Lonchura striata: one gene and its partners. The protein of the gene in region 1 binds, or shares a complex with, the protein of each later gene. Links are inferred from orthologs where the notes say so. Each region holds a gene or a part of one and is shown in the gene's direction. Other genes may lie near its edges. The genes, in order: SNRPD3, PRPF6, CWC22 and GEMIN5.

Region 1 (7,440 bases):
ATCTCCAAAGAGAAAGAGTATACAGCTTACCATTTCTCCACCAGCACCTTGCAGTCTTTGGCTTGTGCAAAGAGCTGATTCACTCGATTCTCTTCTGTGTCAAAGTGCTTCCTGTAAAATGACTGTGGAAATAACAAAAGTTCTGAACTGGAATGGTGTTTACCTTGGGTAATCCACCACTTAGAGTCTGCTAGCAAGGGCCTGCATAAGTTGGAGCTCTGGCTATGGGATAAAAGATCTCTCCCTTAGTTCACTGGAAACAGGACAAGGATTTCTGCTCTGAATTACAAATCAAATTTGCTCCTGGTCAGTTACTGTTGCAGTTTCTATCCAGTGGCTGTTCAGCTGCCTACATAAGAGAAGCCTGTTTGGCTTCCCAGGGGAAACTGGGCAGGAGCTTGCATTAAAGTCACTGCTGCTGCAGGCCCTCCTTGGCCCCTTGTTGGCAGTCCTGGAGAGGCCAAGCTCTCAGTGATGGGAGGCTGAGTTCCCCTCTCACCTCTAGAGGTGGATCTTCCAGGTCAAGGCTGAGGCACGGTGATGGGGAAAATGTGGAAGCTATACACTGCTGCTGCCCAGGCTGTACCTGTGCTGTAGATAAATACAGGGCTTCAGTCTCCAAGGCTGTCAAATAGGCTGGAACCTTTCATGAACACTACATGTAAACTTTTTAAAAATTCAAAAGATGGAATCAATACAGGATCGTATTGCCTTTGGAACAGATCTGTGCCAGTTTTGGCAGTAGGTCAAATTAACTGTGGTTGACTGTCAGTAACACACCAGAGCTTTTACAGCATGACACTCAAGGTTTTTAAAGCTGCCTGCTCTCCCCCTGTAGATGAGAATACTGACCTGATTTTTGTAGCCCTTGTCCACTCCGAGTGTCTGGGTGCAAAATTTATGCTTAACTCCGAAGTGCCGCATTAGGTAGGCCAGGTCAATAGTCCAGATACTCTTTGTTAACTGGAGTTCCTGGATGGCTTTCTGAAACTCATCATTGTCCAAATGATTCAGGTACCTATAGCGTCAAGAAAGGCAGGGGAAGAGAAGCACAGATCTTAGAAGAAGCAAAATGTGTGCTGTAGCCCAAGCCTCTACATCACAGCACATAAAAACTGAAACAACAGGCTTGGCTAAGAAGTAACAAACAAAAAAAAAAGCCCCAAAAACAAACCAACCCACAAAGGAGACAGAAATTTAAGGGAAGGGAATAGGGAATATTTAACCAGATTTATTGCTGACTTTTTAAAATTGGAAATGTGTGGTGCCTTGACTGTTTTAGAGTGCTAGAAGTGTACAGGTGCTGTACCAGAGTCAAGCTGGTATAGAACTCTGTCCTGAAGGGTTTACAGTGTAATGTATAAGTGTATTAGAGCCAACAGAGAAAGAAGAGTTAAAGACTAAAACTTCCTTCACACAATAGATGGATTTTAAAAGGAGGAGCCATAAAGGAACTCAGTAAATATTCAAAGTAAACTTGTCTTAGGCACTGATGACACAAAAGGAAGAAAGTGGGAGATGGAAGTCAGGAGGAAGCTTGGCACAGGTTGCAAAGGGGCAGGCAAGGTAGTTACAGGGAGTTCTGAAAGTAAGAAAACAAATAGAAGTAAATGATAAAAAATAAAAAGCAACTGGAACTGAGGATGCAGGGCAAACAAGGTCATATCAGCAGGGTAAGAAGATTAATCTTGGAAGCTGAGTTTTGGGCAGACTGGAGTGGCAAAGAGGTAAAGGGAATAGAGGTTACAGTAGTCAAGATGGGAAATTACCAGCACACGGACTAACGTCTTGGCAGAAGGGATGGAGAGAAATGAAAATCTTCTGCTTCATATCTACTAAGTGGACATCTAAATAGGTATTTCTCCTGCACCTAAGCTCATGTTCCTCTGTGGAAGGAAAGAGGAGTTCAGCAGGACAGCTACTAGTTCAAAAACTGGTAAAAACAAAAATAAACAAAAAACCCCCAGAGGGCAACACAATTTTGAAGCTGAAACTACTCCTGGAACACAAACACTCATCCCACAGGCTGGGGCTCAGCAGGACAGAGGTAGCACAGGTACAGCACACACTCATAAACTGAGATACACCTACCCATCACTTGAAAATACAAAAAGGAATCGGATGAGTCACAGCTAACTATGGGTTCTGAATTGTAACAACAGAAAAGAGGCAAGACTTTCTATGTGCTTGTGCATGCCAGCCTGCAAAGTTCATAGAGCTGATTAGGTATTCTGCATCTGTGTAATTAGTCAATTATTCAAAGGAGTCCAAAGTTCACTTCAGTTTATGTTTTCCCTTGCTCCTGCTGGAGAGCTGGGCCAGGCCCAAGCAGCTGTCATTGTCCAAGGGTACCTCAAAAACTGTTGCTCTCCTAAGACTGAACTCATGGCTGCTTCAAACACACCTCTTCTCCCTGGGATGTTTCCTGCTACCCCTCCCCATGGAATGGGATTTCCCACTGTAAGAGAGCCACTTACTGAAGCACCATCCTGGAGCAGGCCAGCCCACAGTCCCAGTGGTACAGCTGCTGAATCACTGGCACTTTCAGCTGGATGCAGTCAACTGTGTGAGCAGAACACAAACAATGTCAATCCATACAGGAATGTTTTTCCATGCCATGAAGTCAGCCTGTTCTCAGCACTACAATCATGGAAACTTAGGAATGTGGTTTTGTCTGACTGGCAGGTGGATTTTTTTCTTCCTTAGGGGAACATACAGTTAGTATTTCTGTACAGGTAAGCATTTGGTTTAATCTCATACTCCTTCATTGTTCCATACCTAGGTCACTGGCTTTCCACCCCCTTTTCCCTTGGAAGTTTCTTTTTTCTTTTTTGTGAGGTGATGTACCCACCACCCCTCAACTGAAGCGGTGTCTTCTCCTGGATAACAGCAGGTAAGACACAGGTCTTTTCTGTCTGATTGTACTTCTGTGCCACAAGAGGAGTTAAACCACACTGGGAGAAAACACACCAAGATCTCTGGGCAGGAATCTCTTAGAAGCCCCACAGATTTAAACCTTTTCTATAGATGTCTTTTTTCTCAGGGATGGTAATTTACAGAATTTAAACAAAACTCACAAGTGGTACCAGTTGTGTTAATTCCATCAAAACCTCAGTAGAGAGGGAAAATTAATAAACTCTGCCAAAAAGTCCCAAAACACAAGCTCCATCCTCTGCCTCAAGTTTTTTCTTTTTACGGAGCTGGCAATGTGGTGGTTTCAGTTTCACCACTAGCAGGACTTGAACAGTTGTATCTGTCATTGCTACTTCAGCATTGATCAAAACAAGTTAATCACAAAGAGCTTTCCTCAATAACCTTTGATCTAGAAAAGGCCTTCGAGAAGCTTGGTTAACAAGGTCCTCTAGATTTTATGATGGGAATAAAAATGCATTTGATATCACGTGGATTTGTTTAGTTTTGGGGTAATATTATTTATAGAACTTTTTAGATAACGTTGTTATATTTTTCCTAGTTGTGCCCCTGTTTAATCATGACTTTAAAGAACAGCATACCAATTGATATATTCAGTCTTTTAAATTCATCTAGCTTAAGGTGTTCTCAAGTATCGTAACAAAAAAAAAAAAAAAACAAAAAAAAAGAAAAGAAAACCAATTCCCATTTGTCTTCAAACCAGGACTTCTCAACTATTTTATCATAATTTCTTCTTAGTATGTTATGAATCTGTCCCCTTTTTGTAAACAGCCAGGGCCTCTACCAAGTCCCACATTAACCAAGGGCTACGTGTTTTCTACGTGAAAGCTTCAGAGAGCGATAACAAGTTTTCCTGGCCGTCCAGTTTCCAGTCACCTGTTTCCCAGCACACCTAGAGCTCTTTGGCGATGGCTCGCTGCCGTCCCGACACGGGAGACCGGCCCGTCTATGCCCTGCCTGCGAACCACCCTGCGAACCCCTCTGCGCTTGGCCGGCTCCCCGCCGCCACCACCTTACCGACGGAGCCGGTAACTGCGCACGGCTGCTGCGGGCAGCGCGGCTCGGCGGGGCCCGCACCCGCCGCCCGCCGGGCGCTGTCCCCGGCCCGTTCCGCGGGCGGACTCCGCCTCCCGCCGCCCCCTGCCCGCGGAGGCCCCGCCGGCCCGAGCGGGGCTGGGCGGCCCGCACTGACCTGGCGGCGGCTCGCCGGCCTCCCGGGGGCTCTTCATGGCGGTGGCGGCACCCGCCGCCCGTTCACTGCCGGCCCCGCCGAGCCGGCGGCGCGGCCCCGGGGCCCGGCGCTGGCTCCTCCCGGAGGCGGGGGCTGAGGGGGGCCGGGCCCCGGGGCGCTCGCCCCGCGCCGTGGCGGCGAGGAGGGCGGCGGGGCGTGCGGGCGGGCGGGGGCATGACACGGCGGGCGAGGGGCGCGCAGCCCTGCCGCGGAGCGGGGGCGCGGCGGGGCTGCCGGGCCGGCCCCGGGCGGCAGCGGACGGGCCGCGCCGCCCCCAGCGCCGCGTTCCGGTTCCGGCGCGCGGAGCAGGCCGGGAGGCGGCGGAGGCCATTAGCGGAGCGGCGCGGGCGGTGAGTGCGGCGCGGCGGCCTCGGCTCCCCGCGGGGCTCCGTGGCTCCCTGGGCTGGCTGTGGGGAGGCGCCCGAGCGGAGCAGCCCCGGAGGGGCCGGCCGGAGCGGGAGGGCTGGGGGGCCCCGTGCTTGGCGCCGCGCCCCCAGCGCGGCCGTACCGCTGTGGGGTCCGCCTGGGGCTCTTCCCTTGGAGGTACGAGTGGTTTGTGTTGTGGTCCCTAAAAGTGAATTTCCCAGAAGAGACCTGGAAAAGACTGGCTGGTGATGTTTAGAGTCTTGATGGGCACGTCTCTAGAGGAGTGTTACTGGTGCATAGTCAAAACGCATGTTGTGTTATAAATGTGAGAAAAATCGGTGCTTTACACTAATGGAAGGGATGATGGATTGTGTAATTGGACCTTATTCGACATCTTTCTTTGTAATAAAGCTTTTGATTTCCTTGTGCCTCAGGTGTAGAGCCACAGCACTGCAGCCATGTCGATTGGAGTGCCCATCAAGGTCCTGCACGAGGCCGAGGGCCACATCGTGACCTGTGAGACCAATACAGGAGAAGTTTATCGAGGCAAACTTATCGAAGCTGAGGACAACATGAATTGTCAGGTATCTTTTGTTTCACAAGGATGGAGGGAAGGTTGGCTTATCTGGGCCTCAGAAGGCTCAAAACTTGATCAAAAGACTGTTGCTTTTAGTTCTGGGATTAAAAAAAAACTGTACTGGTGCTGTTTTTTACCGTGTTGAAGTGGATTCATCATTACAGAATGCTTCAAAGAGGCCAGAGCTTATTTCCAATTTCAAAGTAGGATTGGGCATCCCAGTCAGTAGGATCAGAGATTTTAAGAGTCTGTCCTGTGAACAGTGTTTTTCCAGAATTCTTTGCTTAAAGCCACTGAGTGTAAGAATAAAAAAACCCCTTGATTTAAGAAACTAAAGCTTATTTAATGCACATTACTATAGTCGTTCCAAGAGGGCCTAACTTTGATTTCAGGCAAGTGATCATTGACATTAGAATGCTTTCCCAATTGTTAGTACTAGAATAGCTTTATTAAAACTATTTGCATATAAGAAAACAAAAATGATAGATACTGATAAAGCTAATTTGTAAACTGGTGAGAAAGCAAAAGTCCTGGGCAGCAGGCATGGGGTGTGTTTAAATGGTCGTGATGCCTTGTGTCACAGGTGAGGCCTGTCTGAGCATTGACTGATTTTTTACCTTGCAGATGTCCAACATAACAGTGACATACAGAGATGGACGGGTGGCACAGCTCGAGCAGGTGTACATCAGGGGCAGCAAGATACGGTTTCTCATCTTACCAGATATGTTGAAGAATGCTCCTATGCTAAAGAGCATGAAGAATAAAAACCAGGGCTCTGGAGCTGGGCGAGGGAAAGCAGCCATTCTCAAAGCTCAAGGTACGTACAGTTTGTTCATGATCCCTCCCCCTGTTTTTCTGTAGAACTGGAAGACTCATCTCTGTCTCTGAGGAGATTAAGCAGTAAGAAGTGAAAAGCTTGCTGGTTCATACAGTGTTTTTCTGTATATTTTATCTTACAGTGAGAGTCAAGACTCAAATTGTCCCAATTACCTGAATGTGATGTGATGAATATTGATGCTACAGTAATTTAGAGGTAGTGAGTGGCCTTATTAAACAGAGCCTTTCTGTTAAATTTAAGAGTTCTGTTTTCCTGCAGCTTTGGCCACCAGCTGTTTGAAATGCTTAGGGAAGGATTCAGGTGTTCTTGTTGAGCTGTTGTAGGAAAACAGCTTTAGTTACAAAGATGGTACTTGAGCTGCTGGGAAGCTGTAATTATTACCTTTTCTGTAGTTCACTCTCATTTGTGCCTTTCTCAGGGGATCAGTCTAGTTGTTAGGTAGTTGAGTAGCAGTCACAAAGTCCCTGGTTAGCATGCAGTAACGTTTATGTGGGGGAGTAACTTACTGCATGTTGCAAAACCTTGCAAGAGTGTGGGGTTTCAAATCTCTGGGGTGACACAGATTTGTGTGTCAGAAGGAACATGAGATGTCTGAATATCACCTGCAGTTGTCCTGAGGAGCCAGACTGTGGGACCATTAGGTTATGGTTCTTATCACAGAATGCTTTGTGCTCTTCACATCACTTTCTGAGCATTTCCTTGCTTCTGAGTAGGAGACCTTGAGTTCTGTTGATATTTTGCTTGTCAGTTGTTGAGATAAATGTGCAGGTATGTCAAATTCATGTCATCCCTGATGTTTTCTTTCTTCAGTGGCTGCAAGAGGAAGAGGCCGTGGTATGGGCCGTGGCAACATCTTCCAGAAGCGAAGATAATTTTGGTCTCGGCCGAATTGCTTTTTGTATTTGGGGTGTTAACTTGACTATGTGTGCACGTTAGTATCAGCTTTGTTTAATAAATGTTTCTGACAAAAACTTGTCTGCTCTTACCTGACAGGACAATTCTTGGACAAATACACTGTAGGTTGGTTTCAAACTCAAGCCAGCTTTGGAAAATAGTGGACTTTATTATATCTAGTTTTGACCACTTTATGTGATGCATTGATTTCTGAAGATCATTATGTTTCCTTTTTCTTGTTTAGTCCTGCTGTCATTTATTCTCTGAAGAATTAGAAGGCATTCTTAATGAAGAATTTTGGGTCATACATTATAAAGTCTTACTAGCAGCTGCATTTATGGAAAATACAGCAAAACAGAGGCTGCTTCCTGAGAAGCAGAGCACTGTGTCCTTTAGCTTTATATAGGCCTACAGTAGATAGAGGTTTATCTTCAAATCTCTATATTGTATTTGTATTCTTGCATTTTTTATCTTTCTCTTTGGATATAGGGAGAATTTTTCATTAGGAACACACAACTTTGATAGCCTGAATCTATATTTGCAGTGAAAAAATCTGTTCTGACTTTCTTAGTTTTTCCCTGTGTCTGGGAAAAGATGACAGAA
Region 2 (8,303 bases), on another chromosome or scaffold:
AGATCAGATTGTTTTAATGTCATCCCTTACTGAAGAAGAGAGGTTTGGGGAACCGGAGAGGGCAAGGGACACTGGTTTTTAGGAAGGAGTCATGGATGGGAGTGCAGGACAGATGGAGAGAGTAGAAAGGATATGGAATAACAGAATTGGGAAGCAAATGGGAAACCTGGTGTTTTGGGGGATTTAGCAGGCCTTTACCTTCATCACCACTTCAACTTTACTTTTATCATCATCTTCACTTTCAGCTTACACCTTTGCCTTTGTCTTCACCTTCATCACCATCTTCACCTTCATTTTTGCCTTCACCTTCACCTTCACCTTCACTCCTTACCCTTCCCATGGTTGGAGCTTGCACCATCTTGGGTGGCAGGAACAAGTGAAAATCCCCCAAACCCAAGCCTGTTACTCTGGGTCAATGATGACCAGAGGCAGCAGCTTTGCTGTTGGCTCAGCTGTGGGAGATGAACCTGGAACAGTGGAGGGCAGGGCCAGGGATATGCTGCCCTTAGCACAGGGACTCTCCTCCCCCAGCTCACCCAGCAGCCCAAATCATTTGGCACCTTGGGAAATATTCATCCATCTGCCAGAGCTCTTGACTTTGGGCATTCCCAGATGAAAAGACAATTTTAAGGAATCCCATTTGGGCAGCATCATTAACATTCTGCTGGCAAGACACTGTGCCCTTGAGCTCTCTCCTACGTGGGGATTCTTCCCAGCAAACCTGCGGCTGACGCCAGCTCCACTCTCTGGATTGCTGAGAGTGTGAGCCTCGTGTTGAAGACCCTTTAGGAATCTCTGCTAATTGTCACTGAGACCTCCAATGGCTTGGAGGTGACACTCAAAGGCATTTCACTCCCTCCCAGCTGCTGTGGGATCTTGGCACCTGCTGCTGCTGCCTCTGGCAAAATTCCCACCACACACCAGAGCTCGGCTTGGGGTGCAGAGGGGGGCAGATGCTGCAGATGAGTCCTCAGAGTGCCTCTGTATAGTAGCATGGGACTAATTAAAACTTCAGAATGTATATTTACCTAATACGGAGTTGATTTGTTAAGTAGGACATCCTGTCTTCAGAGGATTTCACGGCATTGGGTGATAATCAAGTGAGAACAGGCTCCAAAAGTGTTAATTTAGGAACTGAGACAACAGGGATTAAAAATAAGCTCTGTTTTGTTCTTCTCTTGCACTTCCACATCTGAAATCCAAGTAATCATCCCATTTGGGACTGTAAAGCAATGGCACCACCACCCTGCAAGCATCACACTGGCTGAGGGTGCAAATGTGGGGCTTCAGTGGCCAAATTTGGGTTCTTTGCTCTCTGAGGGCTCAGCTGAGGGGCTCACACTGCTACAGGCATTCCTAGTGCCTCTGGGATGTCTGTCCCTGTGCCTGGCACTGGCACACAGGAAGGGGCTGGATTTCTGCTCAGGACTTGCAGGCAGGTGTTTTGCAACTGGGATTTTCGTAGAATCGTGGAACAATTTGGGTTGGAATGAACCTTTAAAGTCCATCCCATCTCATTCCAACCTTCTGGCTTTTGCAGGGACATCTTCCATTAAACCCGGGTGATCCAAACCCTGTCCAGCCTAACCTGGAAGACTTGCACGGATGGGGCATCCACAGCTTCCTGAACTAGTGTTTTACCACCCCTGCTGTAATAAAGTTTTCCTTATATTTAACCTAAATCTCCCCTCTTTTAGTTTAAAGCCGTTTCCCCTTCTCCTATTGCCAGAGGCAGGCAGCAGGAAACAGAACTTGGGAAGAGTCCCAGCGCTGATCCTGCCCTGCGGATGCATTCTTGCAGTGCTATGTGATATTTAAAAACACGAATTCCCAGCCTCGGGAGAGCCCCGGGGTTTGTTTTCCCGTTGTCCCGGGAGAAGCCGCCGCTGCCTCTGCTCTCCCCGGGGACACAGAGGCGGCTTTGTGTCACCGAGGGGCCGCAGCGCCCCGGCCCTGGGCTGGGCTGCTCCTTGCTGGGCTTTGGGCCGGACCCCGATCCCAGTCCCTGGCAGGATCTGCCTTGGTCAGCTCGTCCTTGCGCTCATCCAAGTGATTTTTTCTCACTTTCAAGCTTTCTGAATGATTCTGAACATTGATGTGCCCAGCATCCCCTCCCACCTCTTTTCCTCAGCCACACACACACAAACTGAGCTTGGAAAGTCCCAAAGCAGAAATGGGATGACTCTGTGCACCCAGGAGAGAGGAGTGACCTGCTGTGGGTGGTCTCACCCCTCTGGGGTTTTATTCCCTCCCCAAAAACACCACCGAGGGTGGTAAGCACTCTGCCAACATGCAGACACGACAGCAGCTCCCTGCAGGTTAAACTGCAGCATATTTGCAACTTTAACAGGGGCTGCTGCCCCTTCACCCCTGCAGATTTTGTTGCACCAGGGAGAAAACATCTTTTCTTCCTGCTTCACACCCTGCTTTAAGGTATTTCGTGAGCACAGAGCAATGCACAGGCCATTCCTTCCCACGTGGGGATGGACCACCTCCTGATCCTGATGATTCCAGGAGCAGCTGAGAGATTTCTCCCCACCTTGCTTCCCACCCTGCAACCCCCAGTTGCACTAATCAGAATAATTGCTGATTAATTACCCCATTGGGCTTTTGGCCATGTTCCTGCAGCAGCCCAGTGCCAGGCTTGGGTAGCAAAATGAAACACAAGGAAAAACCCATGGAGTGCCCAAAAGGTAGAGCTGGGCTGGAGAGGATGCCTGAGGGCTGGATCCTGAGCAGCTCATCCTGCTGTGCTCCAAGGGAAGGTCAGCCCAGAGCTGCCAGTGCCTCTGCTGCCCAGGCTTGGTGGGACACACAGCCAGTGCCCTCCCCTGCACTCACCAGGACATGCCAACCATCCCCAGAGATGATTAAAACTCATTTATGGTTGATTTTACTTAACCTAGAAATTATTCTGAGTTTTCTTGTTGTGTAAGAGTTACTGTGTAAAGAGAGAAGGTTTAGAGCCCAAGCACCAGCCCCATTCTGGGGTCACCCTGCTGCCATCCTTCACCTCAGCTCAGTTTTTCCAGGAGATTGTCCCAAAAGTGAAATTCCTGCAGCTTTCAGGGCCTCAGCAGAGACTGGACACTTCCCTGCTGTCCCCATCCATCCATGGGTCAGGGAGGCTCCCAATGGGCTCCTCTTAGTCCTTCATCCTCTAGCAGGATGGGGGAACCCAATTTACCTCCAAAACCCCCCAAATTTACCACACCCAGCCCACAGGGAAGACCCACTGGTGCTCCATGACGTTGGGTGTGCCAGAACATGGATGCAGCTCTGGGTATTCAGAGGGGTCCAAGATCACTGGACAGGCTGGGGAGTCAGGGGGTCCCACACCCCTCCCTGATGCTGAGGATGCTCCCATGGGCTCTGCCCTCACCCCAGGGTGAGCAGGAGAGCTGGGACACTGCAGCCTCCCTCCCTCTCTGCCACCCCAACTGTTTGGCAAAAGGCATTTTATTTTTCATTTATTTATTTATTTATTTTTCTCCAGCGAAAACCAAAAATAGATGGATGGGAAGTGGCTGGGGGTTGGGATGCCATTAGCATGCAAAATGGGGCTATTTATCTTCCCCGCAGCTGGGCTCTGCTCAGAGCTGGCAGGGAGCAGCAGCAGCAGGCAGGGCTGGGGCTGGGAGGGGGCTGCGGGACAGGGACAGTGCCAGGACAGCCCTGTCCCCTCCTCTGCCCTGTCACTGCCCTTGTCCTTGTGTTCTGTGACCCTGAGCCTCTCCCGAGGGACCTGCCAGCGCTCTGGCACGGCTGCACACGCTGGCAGGGTCACCTGGACACCTCACAGCTGGCAGCTGGCTCATCCTGAGATGTCTGCCCAGGGCTCCGGTTGGGGAAACTGAGGCAGGAGCTCCTGGGACACGCTCGGGAAGGAGGGATGAGCACAGGGCAGGGGCTGCACTTGTACCCCTCACCCCTGGGGTCCCTTGGCAGGGCCATCCCTGCTGTCACCACACAATAAAGTTGGAAGTGAGAGGCCCCTCAGAAGGAATGAGAAGAAATCCAGCTTTTGCTCCCAGAGATAATTTGGCTCGGAATTAGCAGGAGGAAAAGGGGGGAGGCAAAGCTCACACCTCGGGAAACAAGGGTGAGCAGATGGAGGCTTTGTCCTGCTCCAGCCCTCCTGGGATGATCCTGGCCCTTTTTCCCCCTTTTCTGCCCCATTCTGCCCGGGGGTTGTTAAACACAGCTTTGCTTCTCACAGGGCCGCACGCCACCTGGGATGTTCCTTAGTAGCTTCCTAATGACAATAAAAATAACGAATTGCTATAAATGTGAAACTCCATGACAGCAGAGCTCAACGTCCCTGTGAAAAATGCATGTTTTATGATTGGCTTTTCACAAGTATTACAATTAATATTATATGTGTAATGTTAGAAAGTTATGCTGTATAAATTCTCTTAAGTAGTGTGTTAAATATAGTTTTAGGTTCCAACATAATGTAAAAATAGAGACTACCTAAGTGGGGGGACTTTTTTTTTGGGGATGAGATGCTTGCTTCGAGGAACACCTAAATCTTCCAGAGAAAAGGAATTTATGGTTTTCTGATCAGAAGAAGCTAATTTCTTCAGGCCTTGCTCAGACTCGAAGACGCCTTGGGGATTAAAGGAAACAGTTGACATACAACGGACAGAGGTCTTGTTTTAAATAGAATGTATGCATAACCATGAAGGATATATGAATATACAACAAGTGTATTGGTTTAAGGGGGATTCCTTTGTTCACAAGGTATGCTTCTCATGACTGAGTGTCCCAGAGCAGCCGGACGTCCGTAATTCTTTGCTTTTTATTGTCTTGTAATTGTCCTAACTCTAAACCTTATTCCTCTAATTGTATTGCTATTTTTACAACCATTTTATTATTATTAAACTGTTAAAAAAATGTTAAAAACCAGGCGGTTGGCGGTTTTTCACAACCCCCACGCCCTTCGTCCCCGCCACCCTCATCGCCCTCAGCGCGCCTCAGCCCTCCGCGCCGCCAGGGGGCGCTGCTCCGGCGGGAGCGGAAGTGCCGCTCCGGCCTCGCGGCGCCACTTCCGCCGCCGCTTTCCCGGCCGCCTCTCCCGGCTCTGCTCCGCTCCCGCCCCGCTCTCGCCTCGCTGTCGCTTCGCCGCCACCGCCGTCATGAACAAGAAGAAGAAGCCGTTCCTGGGCATGCCCGCGCCCCTGGGCTACGTGCCGGGGCTGGGCCGCGGGTGAGACGCCGCCAGGCCTGGCCTGGCCCCCCCCGCCCCGCCGGTCCCTTCACAGCCCGGTCGCTCCGCCGGGCCTCGGGGCTCTCCCGAGCCCTTTCGCGGCCCGGCTGGGTCACACCTCCGTGCGCCGCTCGTCCCCGTCCCCTCGGGGTGGCCCGCGCGGCTTTTCAGTGTTGTCCCTTCCTGATGGCTCCCGTTCACTCTCTGGCTGGGCGGGGTTGTGTTAAAAAGCCAGCCTGGCTCCCAGGATGAGTTCCCGGGTGCTTCAGACCGGCAAAGGATTGTGTCCCTCCTGATTCTGTGACTGTGTGCGGGTGGGAGCGTCTGAAAAACGATCAAACCTGGGGGCTTTTATTGATGGAACAATGAGGGAGTTTGGTGGTGGCTGAGATAATTTTTAGGGTGTTGTTTGCTGGGTGTGAGTTGTGTTCATCCCCCCTGATTTCCTATTGCCTTCCCTGGGGAGATCCTGCTGGCTGTGCCCCTCGGGGTGCTGCCGGGCCAGTGTGGGGGTTCAGCTCCAGCTGCCTTTGCCCTGATCCCCAGCCTGTGGTGCCCCACAGCCTGCAGGGTCAGCTGAGAGATCCAGAGACAGAATTCAGAAAGGGGCTGTGCATGGGATGGGTGGCAGTGCTGTGAGCTGGGTGGTTGCAGTGTATTTGTGGGAAAAGTTCTCCCTATAAAAGGGTGCCTAGAGAAGCTGTGGCTGCCCCACCCCTGGAAGTGTCCGAGGTTGGATGGGGCTTGGAGCAATTAGTGGAAGGTGCTCCTGCCCATGGCAGGAGGTTGGAACGGGGTGAGCTCCTTCCAACCCAAACCATTCCATGATTCCAAGGCTGTTTTCCCTCTGGCTTTACGAAAGCTGGTCACGAGGAGCGCCTGATGCCGTTCTCCCAAAGGAATGATGTTTTCCCTGCCTGCCCTGAGCAGTGGCTGTGGCAGGCTGGGGTAGCAGTGAGCTGAGCAGGTTTATCCCTGCAGAGCCACGGGCTTCACCACGCGCTCTGACATCGGCCCTGCCCGCGATGCCAACGACCCCGTGGACGACCGGCACGCCCCGCCGGGCAAGAGAACCGTGGGCGACCAGATGAAGAAGAACCAGACCGCAGATGATGATGATGAGGATTTGAATGACACCAACTACGACGAGGTGAGGAGGTTTTCATCATCCTGCAGCTGTTTTTCCCCAGGTGGAAGAAGAGTCCTTGAGCTCTTCTGCTCTTGCTATGAGCCCTGCTCCTAGCTGAGGCTTCAAACCCAGAGTTTCCCGTAGTTTGCAGGCAGCATTTCCTTTTTTATTTATTGATTGAGACCTCAGTATGCACAGTGGCATGGTGCTTACAGATTCTTGTTGTGGCCTTGCTCCATGGATTGTGGTTTAATTGCTGATGCAGAGCCCTGAGAGTTTTTGGAAAATATCTATAAATAAAAATTAGTTTAAGTATTTCAGGTTTTTTTTTTTTATTCTTCACAAATGAAAGCTGATGTGCTTTGACAAGATTGGACTTGATGATCTTGGAGGTCTTTTCCAACCTAAATGACTCCGATTCTGTGCCATATATTGTCATTAAGTGGCCTGTATAGTCTCTTAAGTCCCACTTTGGTTGGTTGAATGTTGTGATACTATTTCTGCTTGCTTTCACTGGTGTAGAAAGTGGTTAAAGGAAGAGAATGGCTCTTCTATCCTGGGATCTCATTTATTGCTGAATAGAAGTGGTTTAGAGAAAGAAGCAATTTTGTAGCAGTTTTGCTTCAAATGGTGTGGGAGAATAAACACCACCATGGGATGGTGTTTATTTATCCTTCTGGAGGATGCTTTTATTTAGGGATGTGTTAATCTGATGCAATGTTGTCAGAAGCAGCCTGTGAATGCATTTTCAGGTGATTGTTGTTGCAGAAACATAACAGGAACTTAAAAAACCTGCCTTTTTTTCCTCTTTTTTTTCCCCTCTCTCTCCAATTTCCAGTTCAATGGCTATGCTGGGAGCCTGTTCTCAAGTGGCCCCTATGAAAAAGATGATGAAGAAGCAGATGCTATTTATGCAGCTTTGGACAAGAGGATGGATGAACGCAGGAAAGAAAGGAGGTAGGATAAGCTACAGCACTAGCAGGGGGTGTTTCCTGGTTAATTGAGGATGACAGGTATTTTGCACCACTTGCTTTGATAGTGGATGCCATTAAATTACTTCACTGTAGTTAATTAAGAGTCCCTGTAGTTCATTAAGATGGTGTGGGGAGATGCATCACAGACTGCACAGTAGATTGGAAATTGTTAGAGGAGTCACCTCATGCTTGTAAACAGTATGTGTTACTTGTTAAATTCACCTCTCATTAAGAGGAGGTCAGAGACTGAAGTTCACTTGGAGATGTCTGTTTTTACACTATAATACTGTCTTATTTGATAAAGGATCTCTTGTTGTAATGTTGATAATCTAAGATTGGAAAAAAATGCCCTTTTTTATGCCCTAACTCTTATCAAACACATTCTTCTGTTATGTGAACACTTTAATCAAAGTCTTGCCAAGTGCTGCTTTGAGCATGACCTCAGTATTCCTTTTCCTAAGGGAACAACGAGAAAAAGAGGAAATAGAAAAGTACCGTATGGAACGGCCCAAAATTCAACAGCAGTTCTCAGACTTGAAAGTAAGGAAAAAAATTAAATGTGACTTTTATGAGAAACAAGAGGTGGCTGTGTGTTCTTTTATGTGTGTTTGTTTTTTTGCTCAGATTTTGTGTATTGGCAAATGAGTACTTTGATATTCTCCAGATTAGAATTACTTTCTGTTGGAAGAGTAAACACTGGTCATGGGGATACACAAGGCAGTGAAATCTCTGCAGATTTTGATATTGGTAATTTTTGTTTTGTGCTTTGTGGAAGGTGCTACACTTCTGTCTTTGAGGGAAACTGATAATTTGTTGGCATTGCAGGAGTAGTTGAGCAGAATCTCCTGAATCTAAATCTTCTTTTAAGTAAAATGTATTGTTTAAGCTGTTGTCTAATGATTAGTAGTAAACCACTCAATGCTCCAGGCACTAGGATTAATCTGAATGTTTGTAGCACTGAATATAATAACAAAATTGATTTGGAATCTCA
Region 3 (7,723 bases), on another chromosome or scaffold:
AATCTCACCTGAGATTCACTGGGAGCAGCCAACAGCTCTGGTCAGAGATCACCTTTCCCTCTGCATTGTTGAAGAGATGAAAGATGAGCATGACATCCAAATGTCAGTTCAGCAGTGAGAAGCAGCTATACTAACTTGTCCTTTATTTGAAGGCATGAGTGGCTGCTTCTGCTCAATGACATCAGTGTAAAAATGCAGGAGGAAAATGACAGAAGGGACAGGACGCTGCATTTTTTTTTCCTTTTACCTACTGTATCATGCATTATTGTGACACAATCACCAGGTTAGTTCAGGAAGGAAAAGTGCATTCATTAGCCTGTCCTCTGGTTTCTAGGCACAAACACACCTTCTAGCACTCAGCATCATGACCCCACCATGGGTTCTACTGTCCTAGCTCTGCAGAACAGCAGAGATATTTTTTTCCTTAAAGGTCAGGAGATATAAAAATACTTCACAGAGGATAAAAAAAATCAGCACAAAGGAGTAAAAACAAAATTGAAAGGGGTTTAGTTACTAAAAAAGGATTTTAGTTGCTAAATAATCTAAAGCTGCCAAATGATGACATAGCTCAATTCATGGTGTAGCCCTGAAATTTTAGGCAGATATTCAGGGTGCCGGCTGTAGAATGATGCCTTGGTTTGATGAAGTCTTGAAACTGTGGAAAAGAACCAACATTCTTCTGCAGTGTGTAAGGACAAAGTGAAACTAAGGACATGAAAACACCAGTTCACAGCCCAGAGTGACCTGTGTCTGCAGCACTATGTCTGGCTCCACTCCATACCACTTTGTAGGAAAGGCTTCAAACAAACAAACATTAATTATATTAACAAGCAAAAACTCATTGCAAAAAATGTACCTTTATTTTTTTTTTTTTTTTTTTTGCCAATCTGCATTCACTATGCTTTCCTTTTCTGAATAATTGCTTCCCCTGTATATTAATTTAAGGTTAGACTGGACAAGAATTGTTTTCAGTCCCAGAAGCTGGTTGGAGAAGAGCATTGCCACAAAACTGAAAGAAGGCAGATTATAGGATACAGACCAGGAAGTGCTTTAAACAGTAGCTGAGTGGATTTTTTTATTACTGTGAGAAGCAGCTGAAAGACTGTCATTAAAAATAATAGCAAACATATGTGATGTGTTCTCACACAGAGGAAACTGTGTGGAAGTTCCACATATGATCATCCTGCCACTGAGCTCAGAGGGATAGCTTCACTTTGATGAGGTTTCAAAACACATTGCAGGAGTCTGCTGGTGTTTTCTTGGGAAAAACAAATTTTGTGATGGAATGTGATGAGTGTCACACATTTGAGGTATCAAAAAGAGATATTTCTTAGTATTGTAAACCCATGATCTTCCAGCAGTTATTAAACTGTAATGGTGAGGGGACTGCAGAGCACGGATATTGGATCCCTCTGAAACAATGGTGTTTATGTGATGTAAGAGCTTTCTTCTTTCTCTCTTATATGTTGTTTCTTAACACTCTGCATTGGAAATAACTCCTGCCACACAAAAAGTAGCAGTAGAGTAGGGATTGCATGTCCCTGATCCACTCTGCTACTGAACAAGTTCAGCTGTGTTGTTTCCAGCCTCCTTTGCTGACTCACCTCACTTATGTGACCTTAAACTGAAACCACAGAGGATGAGATTTCTCATCTCAGCTGATGTGTGGAATAATATCCTGCAGCTGGCACATTGCAGCAGCTATCTGGAAACAATTTTTGAGCCTTGCACAAGATTATAATTCTACAGCATGCTAAAGGTCACACTGATTAACTTGGATGGGAATTAGCTGTGTATAAATTCCTTACTCCTAATAAAGCAGGCAGGAAACCAATGTCCAATCCATCATTTTGAAATTAATTAATAAAGCAATACTAACTGCAAAGACTCAGTTACCAGAATAAGCTATTGGAGCAGCTATCACTGTTTTTCCAGAAGCATTAGGTACTTGTATGAATTGGGTGTTATTGTATTTCAAAGCCTGATCATCATGCTTACTTAAGGTGAAGAATTCTTTGTTGATTATTGCTGTTCTAAATACACATAAAGCCACTCAACATGAGTTAATTCTTGTGTGGTTTTGTCTTTGGATTTTTTTTCCAGACTCCAAAATCATGCTCCATTCGAACTGTAATGTACTTCAGACTGAGATAGAGATGAGAGAACCTCACCATCTCTTACACCCACAGAGTAGCTGCACAGCTGCAGGGTGATCAGGATTGCTTCAGTTGGATTACTTCACCTGAGTGCCTTCCAGGCAAGTAAGGAGTCCCACATGCTGAGAAAGAAGTTGTGGAAGACACACCAAGCAAGAGAATGTACCTGCATCCCTCTTACTCTCTAGAAGCTGGAACCCACAGTCACGTCTCTACTTCAGACTCTGTACATTTAGGATCTTGAGTGCAGCAGATTCCAAAAGGCTGATCAGGGGTACTCAACCTGCACTGCATTCTACCCCCTTAAAGCACTTGGGAAGTGCAAGCTTTGTCTTTTCACTCTCACAGAACTAAAACTTGCATCTCTTAAAGCATTTTGCCAAACCACAGGACTAGACCCACTGTAAAATTTAAGAATTCTCTCTTTAACCTGGTGAGGAATAAAATCTAACTGTGACCTATGGCAGAAAAAGGACTGTAAGATGAGCAGGGCAGGGAAGAAATGAGCAGAAGGGAGCTTCACTGCATAATCCAATAGTAAAAGCATTAACTTATGAAAGGAGAAAAGGGAAACCTCACTTCACTGCTGCTATTCAGCACTTAATGCCCTTTCTCTTGTTCAGTGAATCCCATTGCCCCAGCCCCTTGTCTGCTTTCCACATCCAAGAAGAGAACTGAAGAATTGAAGTCACCCCAGTTATTCAGCCCATCTTAAATCACAAACATGTTTTTCAGAGGTTATCAGTAGTCTCCTGGTGGAGGCACCTCAAAAAAGACCTTTACATTTCCCATCTCTGTCCTCAGGCTCCTTCTGAGGCAGAGCTCAGCTGTCTATGCTCTCTCTTTCTCAGGGCATTTGGAGGGGCAGGCTGAGGGATGGTACGTGTGGCACCAGCCACAGGATGTCCCCCTCAGGAGATGCTGCTGCCACACTGGCACCATATGCCTTTTCATTTCGTGACACCTGTTTACACAGCGTGAGGCAGGAAAAAGATTACTTGCACAACAGAATGGGAAATCATGGAGTGGGTTCAGGGAATAGCGTGTGAAAGCATTTAACAATTCACATTGTGAGAATGTGTAGAACTGTCCAAATAAATGCTGTTTCCAGTCTCCTGTGTAAGAGCCACATTTGCAAATCATTAAGCCAAATAAAGCAAATCCTGTAGCTAAAAGTTATAAGCAGAAAAAAAAATTCACTTTTTCTGATTGTTGTTTCTTAACATTTCCATGTTGGCAAGGTGTGTTTTGCTGCCTTGACTATTCTGCTTAGTATTACAACATAAATGAGAAAGTTGACTTTTATGAATGTGTAACTTAAAATAACTATTCTCTCCTGAGCACAGAATATTTGTCTCTGTGACAATATACAATGTTACAATGGCATTGATGGCCTTTGGAAAAGTTGGAGAATAGGTTTGCTCCCATTTTGTGAATGCTTCAAATTCTGGGGAACGTGAACTGGTAGATTAGTTTAAACCAAAGTGGTTCTGAGTTAAAGTGCTACATAGCACAATCTCAGTCATGGCCTGATGCTCCTTTTCTCTTACTCTTCTGAGATCTTCTGAGTGACAGAAGAGCGAGATAATTTAAATCTTGGGGATTAAGTCTTCAATTGCTGCACCACATTGACCAGATCTGTCCAATCATGCATATCCTCTCCTTACTATGCTGTGATTTTTTGGTTTTTTTTGGACAGTGAGCATTTGAGTCTGTACTAACTGTTACAATGAAAATAGCGCTACAGGCGTATTACATGATGTGACAAAACATTAAGAAGTCTAATGCTCTGTATAGAATAGATAAGTTGACTTAACAACCTCCAAAAAGAAAGAAATGTAGCATTTTCCAGCTCTGAGAAAGCTCCATGTTCATCGCCTGGAGAAGCAGCGGGTCCCACAGGTGCGGCGGCGCCCTGGCCCGGAGGAGCTCATTGCATTTCACAGCATGGAAACGAACCACAAGCACTTCAAGACCTTATGTAGCACTGTCCTTTGTTTTCATCCCGTTTCTATGCATTTAATTACTCTCCCAAATCCAAACACATTTGTGCCTACAATAAGCCAGAGGCTCTCTGTTAGCCTGGATCCGTGGCGCCGAATCACTTCAAACTTTCAGAGGCCAAACAGACCCTGCAGCATACAGGTGTTCCAACACGGCAGCGCTCGGCACTGCAGTGCGTGCAGGGCTTTTCCCCCAGGATGCCCAGCCCAGCAGTTTTTGTCTGGCACGCAGGGCGAGCGCGCTCCTTTCCGACTGAGGCGGCCCCGCCCTCCGGCCGCCATGTTGGGGTGGGGCCGGCCGCGCGCTCCTCGCGCTGCCGGAAGTGACGTGTGCGGGCCGCGCGCGGCGGCGGCGGCGGGAGGTGCGGGCCGGGCCGGGTTCAGGAACGGGGCCGGGTTCAGGAACGGGGCCGGGGCTGGGCGGGCCGTCCCTTCCCGCCATCCCCGTGGGGTCCGGGGGAGCTCCGGGTCGGGGTTCGCGGCCTCCCCCGCCGCGAGCGGACGGGCCCGGGCCGGGAGCCGGGCTCGGGGTCGGTGGGCCGGGCCCCGGCAGCCCCGGCCGCGGCCTGTCCGCTCGCTCGCTCGGGGCCGGCTGCGGCGGTGCAGCCGCTGTGTGGCCGCAGCGTATCGGAATAGACCCGGGGGAGCCTTTGGGTTTAAGGACTTGTGTAAGCATAGCCTTAAAGGACAAAATAAAGGTGCGTGTTCCGGCACCTTGTGCAGTCGAAAGCTTTTGATTTTCTTCCGTGTGTTACAGGTGAAATGGTTTTCATATGCTGAACTCCAGCTTGGATTGCCTCGTTGCTGCACGTTGAGAACTTCGTAAAAAGCAGGAAGTCAAGATGAAGAGCAGGGTGACACAAGTAAATGTAAGTGTTCTTAAAACTAAATTGTGAGATTTGATACTTCCCATGTCACTGGTAATTAGGTTTGTAGTTGATATTATGTTAAATAAAACTTCCTGAGTGCAAAGCAAGTAATATCTGTAACAGACAGAAGTTGTTTGCAAGATAAATACTACTAGGAGTCAGTAAATTACTGACTAGTAATATACTAGCTGCTGTTGTCCATGCAATTAAAGTCCTGAATATTATTAGTGTAAAATGTTACAATAATTGGTCAAAACTGACTGAATGCTGATGGCTCAACAGTAAGTGTAAGCATGTAGAGGAGTGGAGAAGGATTTTGAGAAATTTAACAACAATCTTAAAAGATATTGAAACAATAAGTTGCAGTTAATTTGACAACTGTATGTCATACTATGCACGTTAAAACTTTTCCTTTTAATAGCTATGTGTCCCACTTCTGAGTGGATGGGGTTGATTTTTTTGGGAATGCAAGAAGAAAAAGTTTAGAAATGCTGTTTGCAATGGATGCCAGTTTTGAGACATGTTAACAGAGCAATATTGTTGTGATGCCCTGACTCAGATCTGTGGTATTACTCTCCCTGTTTGCCCAGAGTTGGAACCTGCATAGGCTTCTTCACTCTTTTAGACCATCTTTTCTGACTTGAGTGACTTCTAGTAGGGATGCTTGAGGGGTAGTTTAATACCTTCTCCTGTTCTCCCCACCTGGTAGCGCTCCCTCATCTGTCAAAACAAGCCAGTTAGCAAAAGCACACTGTTTGGACAGTTTCACTTAATCACTTTGATGAAAATGGATAAAGAAGAGGGCTAACTTGTGGCAGAAAACCTGGTCACAAAGAGCTGAGGGTGACAATTTCTTCAGCAAGCATAGCTTCTTTTGCAAGGAGATGTGATAAATGGCAAATACAGAAACAGCCATAACATTGTTTTATTTCTGTGAACATTTGTCTCTTTGGTTCTGCTTGGGCAGAGACACATGATAAAGAATCCATTGGAATGGATCAGCCTTAAAAAGACCCACTGCCTTCTTCCCATCTGCTAGATAGGATTTAAATACAGTAACTATTTTGTGGTATTCAAAGATTTTTATTACCGCTTTCTTGGAAGCTTAGGATTCAGACTGGCATATATTACTATGTTGGGAAAAGGAAACAAGGACGCTTGTTACCCTTGAATGAATTCAGTGATCTGCTGTGTGCTGTAATGACCATTCAAAGGGGTAGAAAACCTTGGTGAATGTGTGAATTTTTTGTACTGTGTCCACTGTTGAAGGTAATGTGGCTCTAAAATGACACAGGTGGACATAACTTCTATAGGGATGCATGCTGCCAGTGGACAGTGCAAAGCCCTTGTTTTGTGTCATGGCCTTTATGCAGGCAACAGAACTCTGGGTGTAATTTTAACAATTTGAATTGCCCCCTTGGAAGGGCAATATTCCAGGATATGTTATAGTGGCCTCAAAAAAACAATTTTTTTTTTTGCATATATACACACCCTCCCAGTTAAGTTTTTGGAGATAGCAGTTGCTCTGCTTTTTATGGAAGAGGTGTCATGTTCTGGTCACCCAGAGTTTTAATTGGTTCTTTGGTGGGGAGGAGGCTGCTTCAACGAACAAGCTGAGTGTTCCTACAGGGAGTTCCATCAAGGTGCATAAGGAAATGCTTTTGTTGAGTTACTGCATCATGTGAGGTGTTCCCTGTTTCACAGATAATGACTCTGTGACATTGTGAGATTGTGGTTCTGAAAAATCATAAATAATATTTTAAAGAAAGAGGTGACCCTTCCAATGAAAGTACTCAGGTTACAAATGCTGCTGTTTACAAATGTTTAGAAACATGTTAATGAATATCTTTCTGTTTGCTGTAGATGCTGTCACTTTCTGATTTTTGTACTGATTTTCTACTCCATACTTCATGTCATGGTTCAGCCCATGGAATTTGTTGTGAGCTGTTTAAGTGTGTATCACTTACACAATTCTGCAAATCTGCCAAGTAGATCAGTGCAGCTCAGATGTTTGTAATGTATGAAACTAAGAATGACTCTTGAGGAAATAAATTGTGATTAGTAAAAAGGGGGAATGTAAGGAAAAATTACTCAATAAAGGGAATTTTTAGGAGAGAGGAAAGACAGTCTTTAAACAAGAAATGGTGGAATTCTGTTCATGGTATTGCGTGTAATACAACAAATGAAAATGGCATCTGAAAAAACGAAGCAGGAAAGGCAGACCAGTGGTCCATCTACTCTAGTCTCCAGCAGTAGTTAACAGCAGATGCCTTAGAGAGTTTAGGAATAGGGATATATAAAAGTACTTGCCGGCATACTCTCACACTCTACCTGTTTGCAGCTTCCTCAGCCAGATAAAGTCTTTTAGTAACCCTTGTGGATTTTTCTTTGGTGTTTATTCCATGCCTTGAACCTGTGGAAGCATTTGGCATGTGCAGCATCCTGTAGCAGGGTGTCTAGCTGCTTAACTGCTTGTTCCTAGAGAAGCAGGAACCTCTCCTGACTGCCGTCAGCTTTATTGATGGCCCTTCTTGTAAAAGAGTGGGAACTGAGGCATGGTATGCTTTGATCTAAGGAGAAGTGCTCACAGTCATGTTGTGGCTTGATTTTTTTTCTTTCTCTTTCCTTAAAGCATGGTTCCAGTCATGACAGGAAGGAAAACTACAGTTCCCGACATGAAAGTTCGTCTCCAGAG
Region 4 (7,884 bases), on another chromosome or scaffold:
CCTGTGCTTCTAACAGAACCTGTAAAAAAAGTTAAAGAAATGGAAATACTGAGGAGGAATTTAAAGAATGCTATTTCTTATCTCTAGATAACATGAAAGAAATTGCAAGTTTAAGTCAGTTACAGAAAAAGTATTTTATAAAGATAAAAACTGTTAAAAGACAAGCATCTTTTACATAAGGAAGCTTCCTGCATAGAATGAAAAAGCTTCAGGATGATTTTATTACATTTTTGGAGAGGAAAGGGAGTGGAAAAGATGTTTTCCACCAGCATTTGTCAGCCTTCTCTCCAGAGACCTTTGTGTAATTAGACATTTGACTAGACATAAATTCCAAAATGAACTTGGTCTATTCAATATTTTCAGCTAATACAGGACATTTCTTTGCCATAATTATACCAGAAATCAATGGTTCAGCCAAGAAAATGAGTAATTTGAGAATTCAAACTACCACAGTGTATTCAAAGCTTTTGTGCCTTTACAGAATTTAGTCGTCTCCTTAATAACGTCCTCCATCTCTTACAGTTTAAGAACCAAAGCACACAGATGTAGCAGCCATTAGTGACCAGGATTCTGCACCTTTTACCAGGAACTTAACACCAAGCACTGCTAGAGAGGACACCCACATGGAATTCATCACCATGACAAGTTAGAATAGCCAGCACAGGTGACCCCAACATATTCATAAGTCACAGCATCACCTGACTGCAACAAAACTGTGTTGTTAGAATGTGCTCCCAACAGGCTTCCTTGAAACACAAAAAGCCACAGAAGTAGAAGCACCTCCAAACTTATGGTAACAGATATTGATTTTCAAGTTTTCTGGAAACCAGGAGTGGTAAAGAATACTATTATTTACCTCTTTGATCACCTTTGCTCCCTTTTTGTCGCTGAATTCCAGCTGAGCAAGAGCCTGATCAATGGACATTCCTTTTATCTGCAATCAAAGTGGTAAAATTAACTTCTGCATTTACAAGTATTTCCTTTCTCTGATTCAGAAGACAATGCTTAAATTATACTGCCATTACAAAAACAAAAATACTGTCATTTCCTTAATTACCATTTCTTCAGTGTAATACCTGCTAAAGCAAAGTACAAACAGCCATTCCCTGTCCAGATCCATGCTCATCCCCAGGACTCTGCTATAAAGATGCTGATTAAACTGTGATTGAATGAGGCTCTTAAGACAAATACAGCAATTAAATTTTGCATTCTCTCAAGTAGAGCACAAAGTACTCTTTGCTTACCAGTTTTGCCAGATACCACATCTTATCTTTGCTGTATTTTATTTCCCTCCGACAGTGATATATTTCCTAGGGGCAAAAGGAAGTTAAAGGATGAGTAATTTTGCTGTGGAAACAGGAATGGAGCATCCATGTCTGCTCCACAATCTATTTTCTTACTAGGAATAAAATAAGAATGGCTCTGCCTACTATGAGAACAGCACATCAGGCATAGCTTTGATATTTGAAACTAATTGCACTAAAAAAAGGTATGGACACACAGGAAATTTTAATTTAATCTTATAACAGTTTATAAGCAGAAGTCCCTGAAAATGATAATCAAAAGGTTTATCACCATCTTTTCCTCTCATTCTCCCCACTTTAGAAGCAAAGCCTTCATTCAGCCTTAAAAATATTACCCTGCTGTCAACTCAACTTACTGGGAGAGCAAATTAACAATATTACCAGAATGAACTTAATTAGCTCTCGAGAAGTGAAGAGGGTTTCAAGTTTGATTAGCACAAAGAGCTGCCTCCACAGACCCATTTAACATTACTGCTAGCAGGGACCAGCACCAGCTGGTAGAATCCAACATCAATGCAAATGTGAAAGAGATGGAACTCTTGATAATCGGGTAAAACACTGATTTAATAAACAAGTCTGTCAATAGCTGCATTTTCACACACACTGCATCACTCCACAGCAGGGATTTCTATGTCCTAGGCCACAATGTTCACAAAAGCAATCAATAAATGCTCATGGCTCACAAAATACATGCCTAAAAAACCTCATTTCTTTTCAGATATAAATACTTTTACTTTGCTGAGCAGTGTGTCTAACGGAAGACACAACACATCCATTCCTAATGAAGAAAAATGCTAACAGTGGAATTCCAGAATATCAGCTCTTGACAGTACAATTTAGACCTCCTTGTAGTTCAGAAACTTCTACAGACAGAGGATGGGCCCCTCACAGCTTGAACCACACACTGAGAAGGTGATCAGCTCCCAGGAACTCAAGGCTCCAATGCAATTTAGAGATGGAGAGCATTCCAAGTGGTATCAACTTGTACAACACAGCCAAACTGATAAAATAAAATCCCAAATAATGAGCAAACAAGCTTTCAAACTAGTGCCATGTTCAGTCACCCTGTGCAGACAGTGACAATCTGCTCAACATTCTCAGGTGAGGGCATTCACAGGTGCATCCTTACAGCTGGTCTGCGAGGCTCTCCAGGCAGCTGGGGAGGGTAAACAATCCTGTTCTTCTTCTCCCACTTCCCAATTTTCTGCAGAGATGTGCTGGTGTGGATGCATGACAGAGGAAAGAGACTTCCCGATGCCAGCCACCTGCAAGGCAAGACCACAGTCTCAGCTGCTGAACACAAGGGTTCTTTGTCCCTGCCCAGTTTATCTGGAAAACTGTGAACTTGCTGTCTTGAAAAAGAGAACCAGCACATTTGTATACTCAAAAAATCAAACTATTAAATCCTTTATAGTTTATGCTGGAAAGGCTTTTTAATTCAGCAAGAAGACTCAAGCTTCTTAAAGGAAACCATGAATGTTGGTGTGAGATTCCACATGAAGTGTCCTCAGACTGTCACACAAAGTCACAGCCACCTCTGTTCTGATGCTCTTGTGGGGTTCAGAACTCTCACAAACCATTTTTACCTTTCCCAAGGTACTTTCCATACTTATTTAACTTTTACCAACAACATATTTAGCAGTGAAAATTTCTAGCTTTTCACAGGGCTCTGTATCTCAGAGCATTAGAGGTTTATAAACATTGTGACATTTGAGAAGAGAGGTGTTCTAAACTACTTCCGAAGCACAATTACGTCAATCCAAAAACCAGGGAGCTGATAGCAATAAATCAATTTTCAGGCAGTTTGCTCAGCTCAGATTCTGAAAAACCGAGCTACATTTTGCCCCCTGCTGCCTGGACAAAGCAGCAGTGGGCAGCCACTGGTGACTACAAGAAACAGAAGAGTTCCAGACTAAACACTGTGAGTTTTACTGAGCCTTGAATGTCTTGGTGTGTGTGGCCGTGTGCAAAGCATCTTAAAAACAACAGGCAAACAGAGTATGCCAAAAGGGCAGTGTACAGCATTGTTCACAATAATATGTGAGCAGAAATTAGCACAACACACATATTTCAATGTCATGGAATATTTCTTCAGGTATTTGCAGGGATGCAGCTGGCAATTCCAGTGCTCCTACAGCACAACTATGGGGTTCCTCCAGAATGAGGGGAAACTTCAGCAAGTGAGGAAAGCAGTGACTGGGAACAGCACAGATATCACATTACTGTGACCTGAACTATGGAGTCAGAGAAAATAGGGATGTCCAACAGAAAGAAGCGAGGAGAGAGACGCCTCCATCGTGGCACAAGCTCTGAATACACAGAAACATGGCACAGGGACAGAGTTCCTACAGCTCCAGGGCTGGGTGGGATGGCCAAGCCAGGGGACCCCAGAGCCCAGCCCCAAGCAGGGCAATGCCAGTCCCACTGCCAGGGTGACAGAGCCAGACTCACCTCTCTGGCCGTGCCCAGCTGAGGAGACCTCGTGCCCAGGCAGCACCTGAAGGGAAGGGAAAGTGAAGGAGGCATGAACAGAATGGTAAAACCACAGTATGGTTTGGGCTGGAAGAGACCTTGAAGACCACCCAGTTGCACCCCGTGCCATGGCAGGGACAGCTCTCCCATCCAGCCTGGCCCTGGGCACTTGGAGAGTTCCAGGGGCAGCCCCAGCTGCTCTGGGAAACCCGTGCCAGGGCCTCAGCACCCTCACAGGGAACAATTTGTTCATAATATCTAACCTAAACCTACTCGCTGCCAGTTTGAAGCCATCCCCCTCATCCCGTCACCCCAGGCGCTGTAAATATCCCACTCCATCACTCCTGCACGCTCCCTTCACACACTGTAAGGCTGCAACTTGGTCACCCCCAAGCCTCTCTTCTCCAAGCTGAACAACCCCAATTCTCCCAGCCTTTCCTCACACGAAAGCTGCTCCATCCCTCCGCTCAACCCGGCGGCCTCGTCTGCAGCGAGACCGTCCCGGAGCGGCGCCGCGTCCCCTCCGCCTCACCCGCGCCCAGCGCCCAGCGCGCCGCCATCTCCCCGGCCTCGCTTGGCGGCAGGGGCGCGGCTTGCGACACTTTGCGGCGGCGTGCGCGGCGCTTGGCGGCAGCGCCCGGAGCACGAGGGGCGGCCGGAGGGGAGCGGGGCCCATGGCGGCGGGGACGGGGACGGGGACGGGGATGGGAGTGCGGGCGCTCCCCGCCTCCCCCAACTGGTACAGCAGCCGCTGCAGCGATGCCAGCAGTGACGGCCGCCTCTTCGGCTTCGCGGCGAGGCACCGCGTCTGCCTGCTGGATGTGGCCGCCGCCGCCGCGCCCGCGTTCCACGGTACCGTCACAGCCTCCCCGGGCCCCGCGCCCGCAGGGGCTGCGGGGCCTCCCCGCCAGCGGGAACCGGGGTGGGCGGGCGGGATGCGGGAGTGTGGGCAGGCCCCGGGTGCCCCGTGACGATTGCTCCTCGCCCTCGCTGCCAGGGGAGCTCATCGGGCACACGGACAGGATCTCCGGCTTCGCCTTCTGCCACTGCCCCGGGCAGAGCAGCCTCTGCGCCAGCAGCTCGGATGACGGCAGCGTCAAGGTCTGGGACAGCGGGACCCTGTCGCCGGTGCTGGAGTACAGCCTGCACCAGGTGGGGACACGGGACACGGGCACGGGGACAGAGGACACGGGCACGGGGATACAGGACACGGGACACAAGACATGGGGACACGGGCACGGGGACAGAGGACACGGGACACAGGACACGGGCACGGGGATACAGGACACGGGACACAGGACACGGGCACGGGGATACAGGACACGGGCACGGGGACAGAGGACACGGGACACAGGACACGGGCACGGGGATACAGGACACGGGACACAAGACATGGGGACACGGGCACGGGGACAGAGGACACGGGACACAGGACACGGGACACAGGGCTCGCACTCGGAGCACGGCGAGGCTGCTTTGCCCAGAAGGGAGCTTCACGCAGGTGTGATGGAACCTGTTTGGCGCTCCTGGCCGCCTCTTTGTTCGTAGCCTGCGGCGCTGCTCATCCCCGTCGTTCGCTGCTGCTTGCCAGCACAGCTCGTGCTTTGGGCTCACTGCCTTTTAACCCTGTGGGGATTCTGAAAATTCCCACAAATTGTACTGGTTTTGGACAAGTTGCAAAAGTCAGGCCTCAGAGGCAGCAGAGCTGCGATTTTAGCTAAGCAGTAGACATAAGATTTGTCAGCAGAAAAATTATACAAGAAGTAGAAAGTAGGGACAAATAGAACAATGGTAAGTGTATTAACACTTGACTAGAATAACTCCCTAAGTTATAGAAAAGTATATTTAACGGGATATTAGGAAGTTCTAAGCTTAATAATGGAGCTCTGTGCATTGTATCTTAAGGCTTACAAGTAGGTATTGTATTCGAAATAAGCAAGCATTGTTTTAACCAATGGTATGTGTGCTTATAGTGGTTGTATAGAACTACTGTCAGTATGCTTTTGCTCTGTGTGAGTGGTCAAAAGGCTTTTAAATTAAGTTGTAATATTGAGTTCTTGGTCTGCTGCCTGGGATGTGAGCTGCTGGCATCTTCCCATTGTCATATCCATGTAATGAAGCTGATGCTGGAAAATAAACAGCTCGAGGTGCATTTGTTAGCAGTCCCAGCTCACCTAAAGTGATCTCAGTAAATTGCTGCGGCCACAGGACAGACTAAATGTGTATTTAAAGAGCTCCTGCAGCTCAGGGGTGCCCATCAGCAGCTACATCCATCTCTAAAACCTGGAAGAACAGAGGCACTCAGGGACACAGCACAGTGCTGCTGGGCACTACTCACAGATGACGTCCTGCCTGTTTCTCTGTGTTCGGTGAAGTAAAACACCTTTAAACCTTCCCAATGCTCTTTCTTCAGAATGCCATCTCAGCACTTCACTGGTCCCCTCTTGTGAAAGATCTGATTGTGTCTGGTGATGAGAAAGGTGTCATTGTTTGTTACTGGTACAACAGAAGTGACAGCCAGCAGTTCTTCCCAGAGCCCAGGACAGTTTTCTGCCTCACCTGTTCTCCTCATCATGAAAACCTGGTGGCCATTGGGTAAATGCTCATTACTTAATGTTTTTTTTTCCCTTATGTCTTGTTTTCTACTCTTCTGCAAGAATTTAATTGTGAGGTTTTGCTACGTGGCTGAAAGGTAAATTTTAAGAGGTCTTGGTGGATGTTCTTTTAGTTTTGGAGTAAAACAAATTAGAAATAACTTTTAGATTAAAAAACCTGCAAAGGCAAAGAAATCTGTGAAAATGTAATGGTCCAGCCTGGCTTCTCTGTAATAGGGTGATAGTGACCCTGGAAAGAGCCTGAAAATCACCTTGGATATTATTCCACAAGCATCCAAGAATCTCTTTATTAATTTACATCTCTGCTTTCAGCTACAAGGATGGCATGGTGGTGATAATTGATATCAGCAGGAAGAGAGAAGTTGTGCACCGGCTGAGGGGCCATGAGGATGAAATCCATTGTCTGGCCTGGTGCCCTGTGCCTGGGGAAGAGAGGTTACCTGCTTGGCAGAATGAGCTTCAGGGTATGTGAACATGATTAACAACTTGTGGAGTATTTTTTAGTTCATGTAAGTGTCCTTCTAGAGGACTGAATTTTTTACAGAATGTTAGTAATTAGCTAAGCAACTGATAAGTTCAATAAAATATGTTCTGATATAAATCAATGTAATTTTCAGCTCATTTTTATGACACTTTGATTTTTAAAGCATAATGACATGACTTCAATGCTATTCAGCAGTTCCTTCAGAAGAAGGCAAGGTTCCAAATGGGGAGCTGACACAGGACACAGCCACGAGGAAAGGTTGTTACCTGGCCTCTGGAAGCAAGGATCAAACCATACGAATATGGAGCTCTACCAGAGGCAGGAGTAAGTAAGAGATAAACACTAACAAGATGTGGAATAGCTCCTGAACTACAAATTGCCTTTGGCCAGATTCTAAGCATGGAAGACTGTGGTCCAGAATACCAATATTTTATGAGGTTAATGCATTATCATGGAAATTATTTGATAACCACTGGTAAGATAGATAATAAGGATATCAGCTGTCACAGGTAGGATTGGGAGCACCATCTGGCTGCCTCCCATATTCCCATGATAAGATCTTGCTTTTCTTTTCCTTGCTTTATAATGTTGTTGAACTCAAGACAGTTTAGGCTGAAATTTTCCATGTCAAGTGTCTGCCTAAAGCTGATTATTTTGGAAAACTCACTTCAACCTTTGTTTGTGCTGAAAGCATGGGGAATGCAATTAAAGCTGCATGCTCCCAGGACTCCTCTGTCTGTTTGAGAATTTGGATGTGGTGCCTCCTGGTCCTGCAGGTGTGATGACTCTGAAGCTGCCACCCACCAAGAGGAGAGGTGGAGCCGTGGACCCGGCGGTCAAGGAGCGCATCTGGCTCACTGTCCACTGGCCTGTTGGCCACCCCTCAGACATCGTGTCCAGTGGCTTTGGGTAAGTGGGGCAGCCAGCAGCAGCTGCAGACTCAGTTGTTCCTACTGAAGGAAGAGCTGAGTACTAAAGACATCCCCTTCTTCCTTCCTTTCCAGCGTTA

The links.
Region 2: SNRPD3 (region 1) and PRPF6 share a complex: the UniProt entries of both Homo sapiens proteins name them as parts of the U4/U6-U5 tri-snRNP complex. The link is inferred for Lonchura striata from reciprocal best matches to the Homo sapiens genes SNRPD3 and PRPF6.
Region 3: SNRPD3 (region 1) and CWC22 share a complex: the UniProt entries of both Homo sapiens proteins name them as parts of the minor spliceosome. The link is inferred for Lonchura striata from reciprocal best matches to the Homo sapiens genes SNRPD3 and CWC22.
Region 4: SNRPD3 (region 1) and GEMIN5 share a complex: the UniProt entries of both Homo sapiens proteins name them as parts of the SMN-Sm complex. The link is inferred for Lonchura striata from reciprocal best matches to the Homo sapiens genes SNRPD3 and GEMIN5.

Annotation. Positions count from the first base shown.
Region 1 is NC_134620.1:3,928,482-3,935,921, reverse strand, and holds the start of SNRPD3 (small nuclear ribonucleoprotein Sm D3), read left to right. Parts: upstream 1-4,404; 5' UTR 4,405-4,512; intron 4,513-4,962; 5' UTR 4,963-4,986; coding exon 4,987-5,112; intron 5,113-5,729; coding exon 5,730-5,922; intron 5,923-6,753; coding exon 6,754-6,815; 3' UTR 6,816-7,440. Other genes in the region: protein GUCD1, read right to left, coding at 31-122, 853-1,018, 2,478-2,562, 4,124-4,160. UniProt on the Homo sapiens protein: Plays a role in pre-mRNA splicing as a core component of the spliceosomal U1, U2, U4 and U5 small nuclear ribonucleoproteins (snRNPs), the building blocks of the spliceosome.
Region 2 is NC_134619.1:6,854,242-6,862,544, reverse strand, and holds the start of PRPF6 (pre-mRNA-processing factor 6), read left to right. Parts: upstream 1-5,020; 5' UTR 5,021-5,138; coding exon 5,139-5,209; intron 5,210-6,190; coding exon 6,191-6,359; intron 6,360-7,176; coding exon 7,177-7,295; intron 7,296-7,773; coding exon 7,774-7,852; intron 7,853-8,303. UniProt on the Homo sapiens protein: Involved in pre-mRNA splicing as component of the U4/U6-U5 tri-snRNP complex, one of the building blocks of the spliceosome.
Region 3 is NC_134610.1:23,609,768-23,617,490, reverse strand, and holds the start of CWC22 (pre-mRNA-splicing factor CWC22 homolog), read left to right. Parts: upstream 1-4,451; 5' UTR 4,452-4,521; intron 4,522-4,916; 5' UTR 4,917-5,001; coding exon 5,002-5,028; intron 5,029-7,660; coding exon 7,661-7,723. UniProt on the Homo sapiens protein: Required for pre-mRNA splicing as component of the spliceosome. As a component of the minor spliceosome, involved in the splicing of U12-type introns in pre-mRNAs. Promotes exon-junction complex (EJC) assembly.
Region 4 is NC_134617.1:5,092,779-5,100,662, forward strand, and holds the start of GEMIN5 (gem-associated protein 5), read left to right. Parts: upstream 1-4,450; coding exon 4,451-4,628; intron 4,629-4,773; coding exon 4,774-4,928; intron 4,929-6,189; coding exon 6,190-6,371; intron 6,372-6,703; coding exon 6,704-6,855; intron 6,856-7,067; coding exon 7,068-7,199; intron 7,200-7,651; coding exon 7,652-7,784; intron 7,785-7,884. Other genes in the region: MRPL22 (large ribosomal subunit protein uL22m), read right to left, coding at 1-19, 857-934, 1,245-1,310, 2,434-2,569, 3,756-3,801, 4,309-4,336. UniProt on the Homo sapiens protein: The SMN complex catalyzes the assembly of small nuclear ribonucleoproteins (snRNPs), the building blocks of the spliceosome, and thereby plays an important role in the splicing of cellular pre-mRNAs.